2 linked regions of the Caenorhabditis elegans genome follow. Each later gene encodes a partner of the first gene's protein in a complex. Each region holds a gene or a part of one and is shown in the gene's direction. Other genes may lie near its edges.

Region 1 (5,248 bases):
CCACAACTCGGCTGGGACATAATTTGTATAATTATATTGGCACAACTGTAAGTTTATGTATGCTGAATTCAGAAAATCTAGGTACATATAACCCATCAAAAACTATTGAAAAGTGGCAAAAATTGACAATTTTTTGTAAAAATTCACAATTTTGAAACTCCTCTAAAATGGTAAATTTTGTAGTTAGACGACTCAAAAATACAAAATTTACTCAAAAACATTTAAAACATTGCCCTTTTTTAGAATATAGTAGTTTTAAACATTATTTGGGAGATTTTCCGAATGAGAAGCTAATTTCGGAAAAATTCGGAAATTTATAAAGCCGCTTTTCATTCGAAATTTATTTTTATTTTTAAAAAAGTTTGGGAATTCTCAAAAACCAACTGTCCACCCGTTCCATTTAACAACCCAATTCTCAAATGTCCCCTCTAAAATTTTGATAGTAGAGCTCGCGGAGCACATCAGCAAAAGTAGCAGCTCCCAGGAAATGTCCGAATCATCATCAAATGCCGTTGGGGTATGTCCAAGAGGATGGTGCATTGTAACAATTGACTGACGACGGCAGCTGACGGATTGAGGGGTCCCCTCGTGCACACACGGGAATGCTCCGGGAGCACACACACACACTTTTCCATTACTATTTCCTACGAGAGTGTGGTAGACGTGCCGTTATTATTTTTTTGTGTTTTTGAGGTTAAAAATTGCTTCCAAGTCTGTTAAAAATATATTTGATGGCCTAGTTTTTGTTTTCTAGGCAGCCGAACTTGAATTTAAAAGCTTGACATTTTTGGTATGGTGGCTTAGAATTTCGAAAATTCAAGTTGCTTTCTTTTAACTTAAAATTAAAACATTTTTTGCGAATTTGAATTAGATGGCCTAGGATTTTCTGGAATGTTTAATTGAAAGATTTGGTTAGGCCACACAATTTCAGTTGCTGGCCTAGTTTTGATGTTCTAGGCCACCAATTTTTCTTTCAACTTTTCCGATGAATTTCACACACGTTCCAAACTTTCAGTAGTCACACTCATATTTTGCCTCATCTTTTTCATGGCCTAACTTTTCGATTTCGTGGCCTAGAACTTTGTCCATGAAAAAGTTTAGGCCACATGCTTTTTTTAAAAATATATCCCTTTTTATTGAAATGATTTTAAAAAAGTTTTTGTTAGACCCAAGATGATTGAGCCAAATTAGAGAAATTTGAAGTTGGTGGCCTAGAAAATTTCTAGACTATCAACTTCACAAGGCTCTAACTTGGCTGAAAATTATCATTTTCAGTTTTTTCAAGCCATATTTTTTGTTGAATTTTTGTATTTTCCTTCAAAATTTTTATTTTGAAAAAATCAATAATTAGAGATATCAAATGCATATTCCGATTGTTTCGCACAAATCTCATAGTCATTTGCACAACGAAAAGGAATTTGCGCAAATTCCGTCAAATCATGCTCCAAATTGTGCTCTTTTTCTGCTCCAAAACTGTGATCCATCCAATCGGATAAAATGCTTCTGTCCGACCCGTCGTTCGCACAATGCGTCCAAATTGTCTTCGCAGAACTGGCTTCGGTGGCCTAGAAATTCAAATTTTCTTGTGTTGCTGGCCTAGGATTGGTTCTCTAGGCCACTAAAATCAGCTTGATTTTTTTTTAAATGTTGATGTGTCACGTTAAATTTAACATGAATAGAGCTTCACCCATTTTGGTTTTTTTTTCGTTGGTGGCCTATGTTTTTCTAGGCCACCAACTTTAAATTTTAAATCAATATATTGTCAAATTAAAGGGTTTACTCACAATTAGCTCTTCACAAAAATCTACTTGAAAAACTCGAATTGGTCGCCTAGAAAACTAAAACTAGGCCACCAATATTTCGTTTTTAAATTTTTCTTCAAATTTTCTAAATTTTTTGAAATTAGAAAAACTAAAATAGAAAAACTTACACTTTTGTCACTGTTACTCATTTTTAGCAATATTTTTTTCTTTGAATTCTTTGAATTTTTTTTTAGAAATAAAAAATTTTCCAGAAAATTTCGTTCTTTTTTCGTAACTTTTATTTTTTGGAAAACTTCTAGAATAACCCCACGTTTTTTAAAAATAATTTTATATTCTACAACTTAATTTTTTTTTCTAATAAAAATCCCAATTTCAGATGCCAATTGGTGTATAGAATAGGCGAAAACGAACGAAAAAGTGCAACAACACCATGTTATTCTCGGGCGCCTCGACTGCGAAACCGAAAAAAGACGAGAAAAAGGACAAGAAAAGTGATCGCGGTGAGTTTTTTGAAAAATTTTTAAGACAAAAAAAAAAAGAAAAATCCCCGAAAAATGGCATAGAAATTTACCTTTTTTGATTTTCCAGGCCACCAACATAGTTTTCAGCATACATTTATTTTATATTTGTTTCTGTCTTACCGAGACCTTCAATTTGACAGCCATCATGCCTAGGATCCGACTATTTTGAGTTGGTGGCCTAACTTTTCAAGCCGTGACCGAGAAAATGCATTTGGGCCTGGACTTTAGACGCTCAGATTTTTGAAATGTTCTTAGTTTTTATTCCTTGTTAGGAGTATTCAAAAATTCAAAAATTGAATTTCAAATAGGTTCTGGGAGTTTTAAGTTGTTGGTGGCCGAGGAATTTCTAGGCGACCAATTTTAAATTTTGCCAGTAAGATAAAATTTGTAGAATTTTAAAGTGAAACAGTAATATTGTGTGCTTCTTAAAATTTAATTTCATAAAATTTAGCAATTTCTAAAAAAGTAAAAATTCTAGGCCACCAACTGAAAAGTTAGGCCATGGAATAAAATTTCCAAAGTATGGCAATATTGGTGTCATGTGAAAGCTATGAACGTGCAGAAGTCAGTGAAAAGCATTGTAATAATGAAAAATTATTTTTGTGGCCTAGAAAAAGCAAACCTAGGCCAGCGAGTCAAATTGGGTGGCCTGAATTTGGATTTCTAGGCCACTAGTTAACAAATGCCATTTTTCTAGCAAACTTCTTGAAGAGAACTAACTGTTGCCACCAATACTCTGTTGAACATATTTTATGCTGATCTAGAAATTTTGCTGGCCTAGAAATCTAAAACTAGGCCACCAAACTGTAAATCTGCTCAAAATTCATATTTTTCGATTTTTCAAAAACCGATTTGTAGAGTTTTTGACGGAAAATTTGAATTTGAACGTTAAAAGCTATGAATAAAATTTTCAGACCCAAAAAATGAGCTCCAAGAGTGGGTATTCGTGCGCTGGGCCAATCACCTGCTCGGAACAGAACGTCTAACCGATTACAAAAGCCTTCAAGATGGTTCAAACGCGATTTTTGTCTACCAAGCAATTATTGGACAGACTATGGCTGTACTGGGTAATCCATCCGACGATTGGCCTAATGTTTTGCAAAATATCGGGGATTCCAAGACGAATCCGCAGGAAGTTATGGAAGGGCAGCAGAAAGCGGTGCTCTCAGCCTGGTGGCAGCTTGTTCAGTTTTTCTGGAAAAATAATGCACCCGTGCAGTTACGGGAGGAAAAGGTGAGTTTTTTGAGTGTAAAATCAAGTGGAAATCTTTAAAATTGATAAAGTTACGGGGGTTTGAAAAATTAAAAAATAAATAAAAAATTTTGAAAAAAAAAATTTCGAAAATTTTTTTTAAAATTTTTTTCCTAGAATTTTTTCTATTAAATTTTCAAATTTCAGCTCTCCGAAGCCATCAAACAATGGTGCATTGAAGTCATGAAATCATACGAAGAAATTGACGTCTACGACTTTACATCTTCCTTCCGGGACGGCCATGCCTTCAATTACCTCATACATTCTTATGAGTAAGGGTTTTTCATTAGAAATTAATTTATTGATAATCAGTTTTTCAAGAGTTTCTAGATTCCATGAAACATGGTTTTATTCGAAAAAAAATTCAAAAATTTCAAAAAAAAAACACATTTTTTTGGATTTTTTCAATTCTAAATTTTCCAAAACAACTTTTAATCTTATTTTTTTTTAATTCAATATCAAATTTAAATTCAACATTTCATTACAGTCTATTTGACACCCATAATGCCTAGGCTCCGAAATGTTCAAGCTGGTGGCCTAACTTTTCACTACATGGCCTAGAAAACTCACTGGGACTTCAAATTTGGAAAACATAGGCCCTGGAATTTAATATTTTAAAGTATAGCAATATGGGTGTCATTTGAAAGGTTTCGGCGTGTAGAACTCGAGAACCCCATCAAAAAGAATTTTAGAGAGGGTCTCGCCGCGAAAACTACAGTACCCATGTGATTTTCGTGGCGGGATTCAACTTTTTCCAAAACTAATCATGATTATACTCAAATGAAAGCTCTCAGTGCGACAAACACAGTTAATATAGTTTCGAGCCCGAAATCCTGAACATTTTCAGCCGAAAACTGATAAACCTCACAAAAACCGCCGAAATGAGTGCCATCGACAGGATTGAAAACGCTTTTGCTGTCGCTGAAAAGACATGGAATGTGCCAAGGCTTCTGAATCCAAAAGGTTACTATTTCTAACCAAAAAAAAAATCGAATTCTACGCTGAAAAACCACGAAAAAACTGTTTTGGGCAAAGTGGCTTAGTGGAGAATAGGTGCACAGCTACGGAAAAACATACCAGGGTTCGACCCCCCGCTGCGGTCAAAATTTTTGTTTCTCAATTTTGAAAGTTTTTGAAAATTTTTGAAATCATTCACTTTTTATTTTATTTGAAAATGAAGATTTTGAGCCGAGTTACAGCAGTTTTACGCCTAGGCACAAGATTGACTACCTGACTGCCTAGTAGGTTTTAAAAAACTGATAGGCAAGCGTGTAGGCAGGCAGGCAGTGATGAAGACTTTCCTTCCTACAAGAACTGTCAACACTGAATTATCTATTTTCCAGTAATTCACTTGAGTTAGAGCTTCAATGCGGTAAGTCAAAATGGGTTATAAGTAGGCGCGAAGGCAAGTAGGTAGGTATTACGGGACAATGAGATCATGAGAATGCCTACTTTTCTGGCGGCAAATATCTCGTAGCGAAGGGACCGGCGTCTCTCTTCGCCATATGCTCTCTCGCTGCCGCGGCCTGTCAATATTTTCGCGCCAGTAAATAGGCATTCATCTCATGGTCCCGTAATAGGTAGGTAGGCACAAGATAGGTACATAGGTAGGCATTCAAAAAAGTAGATAGGCACAAAGTAGACACATAGGTAGGCAGGCAACAAAGGGTAAAAAGCCTACCTACACTGATGTTTTCCGCGTAATTTGGTTT
Region 2 (4,908 bases), on another chromosome or scaffold:
ACACGCAACCGCTTCTTCGTTTTCTTTTCCCCGCCGACCGCTTTTCTCTTTTTGCCCCTGTTTTGTCCTCCATTTTCCGATTTTTTTTTCTATTTTCAAATCGATTAGGAACTGAGTGATAGTGTGGATAATTGCTTCCAATGTCGCAGAAGAACGGGTGATGAGACGATATATAAAGAGCAAAACTTGCATGCTTTCATCTTGATTTTTGTTGCGTTTCTTTCAAATTTCTAGAATATAACTTCGTATATTTGCTCTAGTGCATTATGCTACTGCCAATATCTAAAAAAAAGTATGGTTTCCTTTTTTTTGAAATTTGTTTCCCAATCGCAAACTATGTGTAATTTTTTAATTCATATAGTTTTCCTAAATAGTGAAGCTTTTTTTTTGTTTTTATCATGTTTCACATTGACATCAACATGTAAATAAATACAGTTTTTCAGTATACGAAACCACGTAAAATAATTAACACCACATTTTTTGTCACAATGTTGGAAATTCAACTGACATTAATTTTTTTTTGAATTATTTTTAGATGCATTGCGATAATGGTTTGGTATGCCATTCTACTTGTACCAATCCGAAATGTTTGATATTGCACTAATTTTCCTTGTATCATTGCTTTTGTAGTGAATACTATCAGCTTTTTTCAACTAATCAATCAGAGAAACGAGTTTATAAGAGTTGTGTCACTTGGTGTCAGAGTGTCCCATTTTGGTTTGATCTACGTAGATCTACGGAATGTGCGGGGATCTAGACGCAGACTTCTCGACAGATTTTTTTGGCATTTTTGAAGGTGTGCTGACGTCGCCTTTTTTGTAAATCAAATCGTAATGAGACCGCTTGCCATCACGTGCTGTGTTAGTAATAATGGTAATTTTAAAAATTCATATGAAAGCATGGAACTACTTGAAAAATACAGTAACACAAGTTTTGTATTGTATAATATATATAACATTACATTTATTCATTTCAAATCCATGAAAGTAGAAATATCTTTCCCCCGCACTGACAATCATATTTGTAGCCGTTTTGTAGGCGCCCCTCCTCTTTTTTTGCGTTTTTATTTTATTTTTTTCTCTCAACACATCTTCAATCTTTATATTCCTATTTGAAAACGTCTCCAGGGAACCTCGCTCATCGGTCTCCCAACCAACCAATTTCCAGTTTTGTTCGGCTCGCAACTTCTTCTATTTCTTCTGTCCCCCCCCCCCCCCCCCCCCCCATCATCCTAAACTTCTTTCCCTCCTTCTTAACATCGGCTTCCGTTTTCCTCCTGTTTCCATTCTCATATTCAATTTGCGGACGGACTTTTGGTCAGTCCACTTTCCTTAAAAGTCCTTTTAGCTACACTACCTACACTTTTCTCTGCATTTGCTCTTTTGTTCAATACTCCCTTATCCGTTTTTCCTCCAGGAAAATGATCAGAAGCAAAAATATTTGGTTTTAGTGTTTAAAATTGCGTTGCCGCATGAGTTATTCATTTCTTCTTTCATTTCCTCTCTCCCCCATCTACTTGGCCCATTGTTCCTCATCATTTCTCATCATCACTCAATTATTTTTCCTCGTTTGCTCTTTTTTCATAGTGTGCCCTTTTTGTCATTTTTAGCAGCTTAATCACTGAGTTTTCAGCGAACCTCACCTCTTCACCCAACGTTTTCCAACGTCACCACCAGTTTCAATACGATATCCAAATTGTCCTGATATCGGACAATTGCTTCGTAGTATACTGGCTCATGGTAGCTGATATACTCGATATGCAGTTGAAGGTTTGATACGGTTTTGAGTGAGCGTTTTTTTTCAGAAATGTTTAACAAGTGTTTATTGTCCATTTAGAAACGGAGTAGCATCAGTAGGAAAGTTGTTTAGGGGCTGAAAAGTCAGAATATGAAACTAACAATTTTCTTCAAAGTGCACAAAAAATCTTTGTTAATTTACAGTTGAAAGCATAGTAATTTTTAAAATGAATTTCTAATAGTGTACCTAAAACATGGACTAAAATATCAATACATTCGGAAAATTGTTGAAAATGTTATCTCTTTTTCTGCTGATTTTCAGCATAAATAACATTCTGGCACTACTTCAACTTTTGTTATTTTTCCACCTAGGGCTGGCCATCTGGACGTCCGCCCACATGGAGTCACCATGGGTGGCAAAATAAGGTGGAAATTTTTTTTATCACAGGAATTAGGGGAGCTTACATCCTGACATTTTCTGGGTTCCGCTGCTTACTATAGAAACGCACGCATTATCACAATGAGACGCGGAACACAAAAAAATGTCGGGATATACGCTCCCATAAATCCACGAATGTTCAAAACCGAACGCCCGATTGTCCGAAAATCAGTACATTCGGAAAGGCCAGTCCTCTGGATTACCAGCCCTATCTTAACCTAACAAAAAATTGGTTTTGAAACCTCATGGCCTTTTCTGCGTGAAAATAGTTTTAAAGTCCAAATTTTCTTTCTGATAAAATGTTGTCTTGCGTAGTATCATGTAAATATTTTAATTTTCATTATTTTCATCTGCACGAAAACATTTCGGTCAAGTAGAAAGTGCAAAAAAGATGTATTATTACGGAAACGCAATCCAGTAATATTATTAATAAAAAACATTTACAAACCAGAGGCTCTGTACTTTATTAAAATTGACATTCATTCAGTTTTTTTAAACATGTTATGTTTATAACAAGGAATTTGTAATCGACATACGTCCTCCCGTACTAACAGCGATTTGCCGAGTGTCTAATACCACTTTGTTTTTGATTATTGTTTAAAATTCACTTTCTTCAAAACACCCATGTTTTTTATTGCTGAAACCATCTAACATCTTGTTTTACTTCTCTAACCGTTTTTCTTTAATACTTTTTTACTAACATTTCCACCATTTCATCATTATTTCATATTTTACAGAGGTGAGGATATAATGCCTGTGCGGAAAAAGCATGGTCCGTACGATATCATCGCCGACGATGTCTACGACTGCCGTATTCCACTCCATAACGAACTCGCTTATCAGCATGGTATTCATTTCGAAGCAAAGGTTTGTGAAAAGATGTATTCGAATGTTTGTACAACGCTAATCTTGTTTAAACGAACATTGAATATTCTGAAAAGCCCGGAGGGTGTAGATTAGATTGTCTTCAAGTTTGGTCCTAACGCGTTTGCAAATTTAATCATAGTGGGAAGTTTAGTTTTTTTTTTCTTTCAAAAAGAAAACAAAAACAAAACTACTGGATTTAATCCAAAAAGGGTTTTTGCAGTATGTCGGAAGCATGGAAATTCCTAGACCCGGGACGAGAATCGAGATTGTGGCGGCGATGCGACGAGTTCGAGTGAGTTTTTTTTATAAAAACTCGCAAATAGAGATATATTCAAAATGAGCTGAAATTTGCAATTGAAAATTAGTAGTATAATCTAAAATTTGTATAATTACATGGTTGCAACATTATTATTAGTAGTGTAGAAAATAGAATCGTAATACTTTGAAAGATCATAATTTATTGAATTTTTTACAAATTCTACACTTGCTAGTGTTTTCTTCTCTACAATTTTTTCGTTTGTTAAATCAATCAATATTAAAGTCAGTAAATGCTAGGCGTTGATTGAATAATCTGCCACACTGCAAAAAAGCTGATACTTTTTTACCTAAAACCTATAGTCGTATCTAAAACTTTTTTTGTTGATTAAGGAAACATAAGCAATCAATATTTGAACAAGCATATCATCGATGTGAATTTGAATTTGACCGTGTCATATTTGTTGATTTTGACTGACTTTTTCTTAAACAACCAAATTGAAGTGTTTGAAGAAAACGCTTTTGAAAATCTATTTTCCTAATTCCTTGATTATTGAATAAAACCATTTTCAGTACGAATTCAAAGCTCGTGGTATCAAAAAACGCCCGGTCGACATTACCGTATCCGTCGATGGTGTCAAAGTTGTTCTTCAGCGGAAGAAACAGAAAGAGAAAGGTCTCTCTTGGGATGAATCTAAATTACTTGTCATGTTTCACCCAATATACAGGTATTGTTAAATTTCTGTAAAATTGTTATTGTAAAAATTTTGAAGGATATTCTACGTGTCACATGATTCTCAAGATCTTCAAATATTTTCCTACATTGCACGGGATGGAGCTAGTAACACATTTAAATGCAATGTATTTAAGTGTTCTAAAAAGGTTAGTCATTATTTTCAATATTATTATTATTATTATTGAAGTAGTACTGTGATCAAATTTTTTTTTAGAAAGAGCGTCGAAAAAGTTAAAATGTTGAATTTTTTGTATATGGTGAAACTATCGAATTTGAAAATTTATGTGGTTTTCAATTAAGTATGTATTACATGAATTTTTTTTGAATAATATTTATAGAAATGAATACCGATGTTTAATCACTATACAATTTCCCAACGCGTTGTTAATCAGTTCCCACAGGTGTTACATTTCCGAAACTTCCCATTTTCGAGAAGTGGCGGAAAAACTGATTTTGTTCACAATTTAGAATATTATCCGACTCAAAAATTTTTTTTTCATATTGGCGATACTACTCTTGTAATTCTGTAAATGCCCCTCAATTTGAAAAATTGAATTGTCTACACACTTGTCCACACTACCCAAACATTTTTCTACTATCAAGAAAATGCAATTTTCATTTAAAAAACTACAGACCTTGCTGAAGATTTCGTGATTTAAGATGATAATAAGCTCTAAGACTCATTCAAATTTTTTGTGGCAATAAGTATTTTTCAAACGTTTTGAACAAAAATTATCGAAGAAAGAACAAATGATAATCAGAATTACCATGCAATCCTAAGTATTTTCACAGATTATACTTCATTTGAAAGCAAGAAAATAAAATGTATGGATCAAAAAAGCAATATTTTGGCTTAAAAAAAAGAACAAAAATCA

Evidence for each region. The genes of interacting proteins can lie anywhere in the genome.
Region 2: dys-1 (region 1) and dyc-1 share a complex: the UniProt entries of both Caenorhabditis elegans proteins name them as parts of the dystrophin glycoprotein complex.

The regions. Positions count from the first base shown.
Region 1 is NC_003279.8:11,554,738-11,559,985, reverse strand, and holds the start of dys-1 (Dystrophin-1), read left to right. Parts: upstream 1-2,134; 5' UTR 2,135-2,193; coding exon 2,194-2,263; intron 2,264-3,198; coding exon 3,199-3,518; intron 3,519-3,683; coding exon 3,684-3,808; intron 3,809-4,383; coding exon 4,384-4,499; intron 4,500-5,248. Other genes in the region: F15D3.9 (SAM-dependent methyltransferase), read right to left, coding at 1,341-1,565, 1,931-1,951. UniProt on the Caenorhabditis elegans protein: Plays a role in cholinergic transmission and as a functional partner of dystrobrevin (dyb-1), necessary for muscle maintenance. Required for neuronal positioning. May play a role in the localization of slo-1 near dense bodies in the muscle.
Region 2 is NC_003284.9:14,047,903-14,052,810, forward strand, and holds the start of dyc-1 (Dystrophin-like protein 1), read left to right. Parts: upstream 1-1,632; 5' UTR 1,633-1,769; intron 1,770-1,925; exon of another isoform or gene 1,926-1,946; intron 1,947-2,912; 5' UTR 2,913-2,925; coding exon 2,926-3,042; intron 3,043-3,262; coding exon 3,263-3,334; intron 3,335-3,870; coding exon 3,871-4,025; intron 4,026-4,070; coding exon 4,071-4,179; intron 4,180-4,908. UniProt on the Caenorhabditis elegans protein: Together with dys-1 and hlh-1, participates in a common muscular function.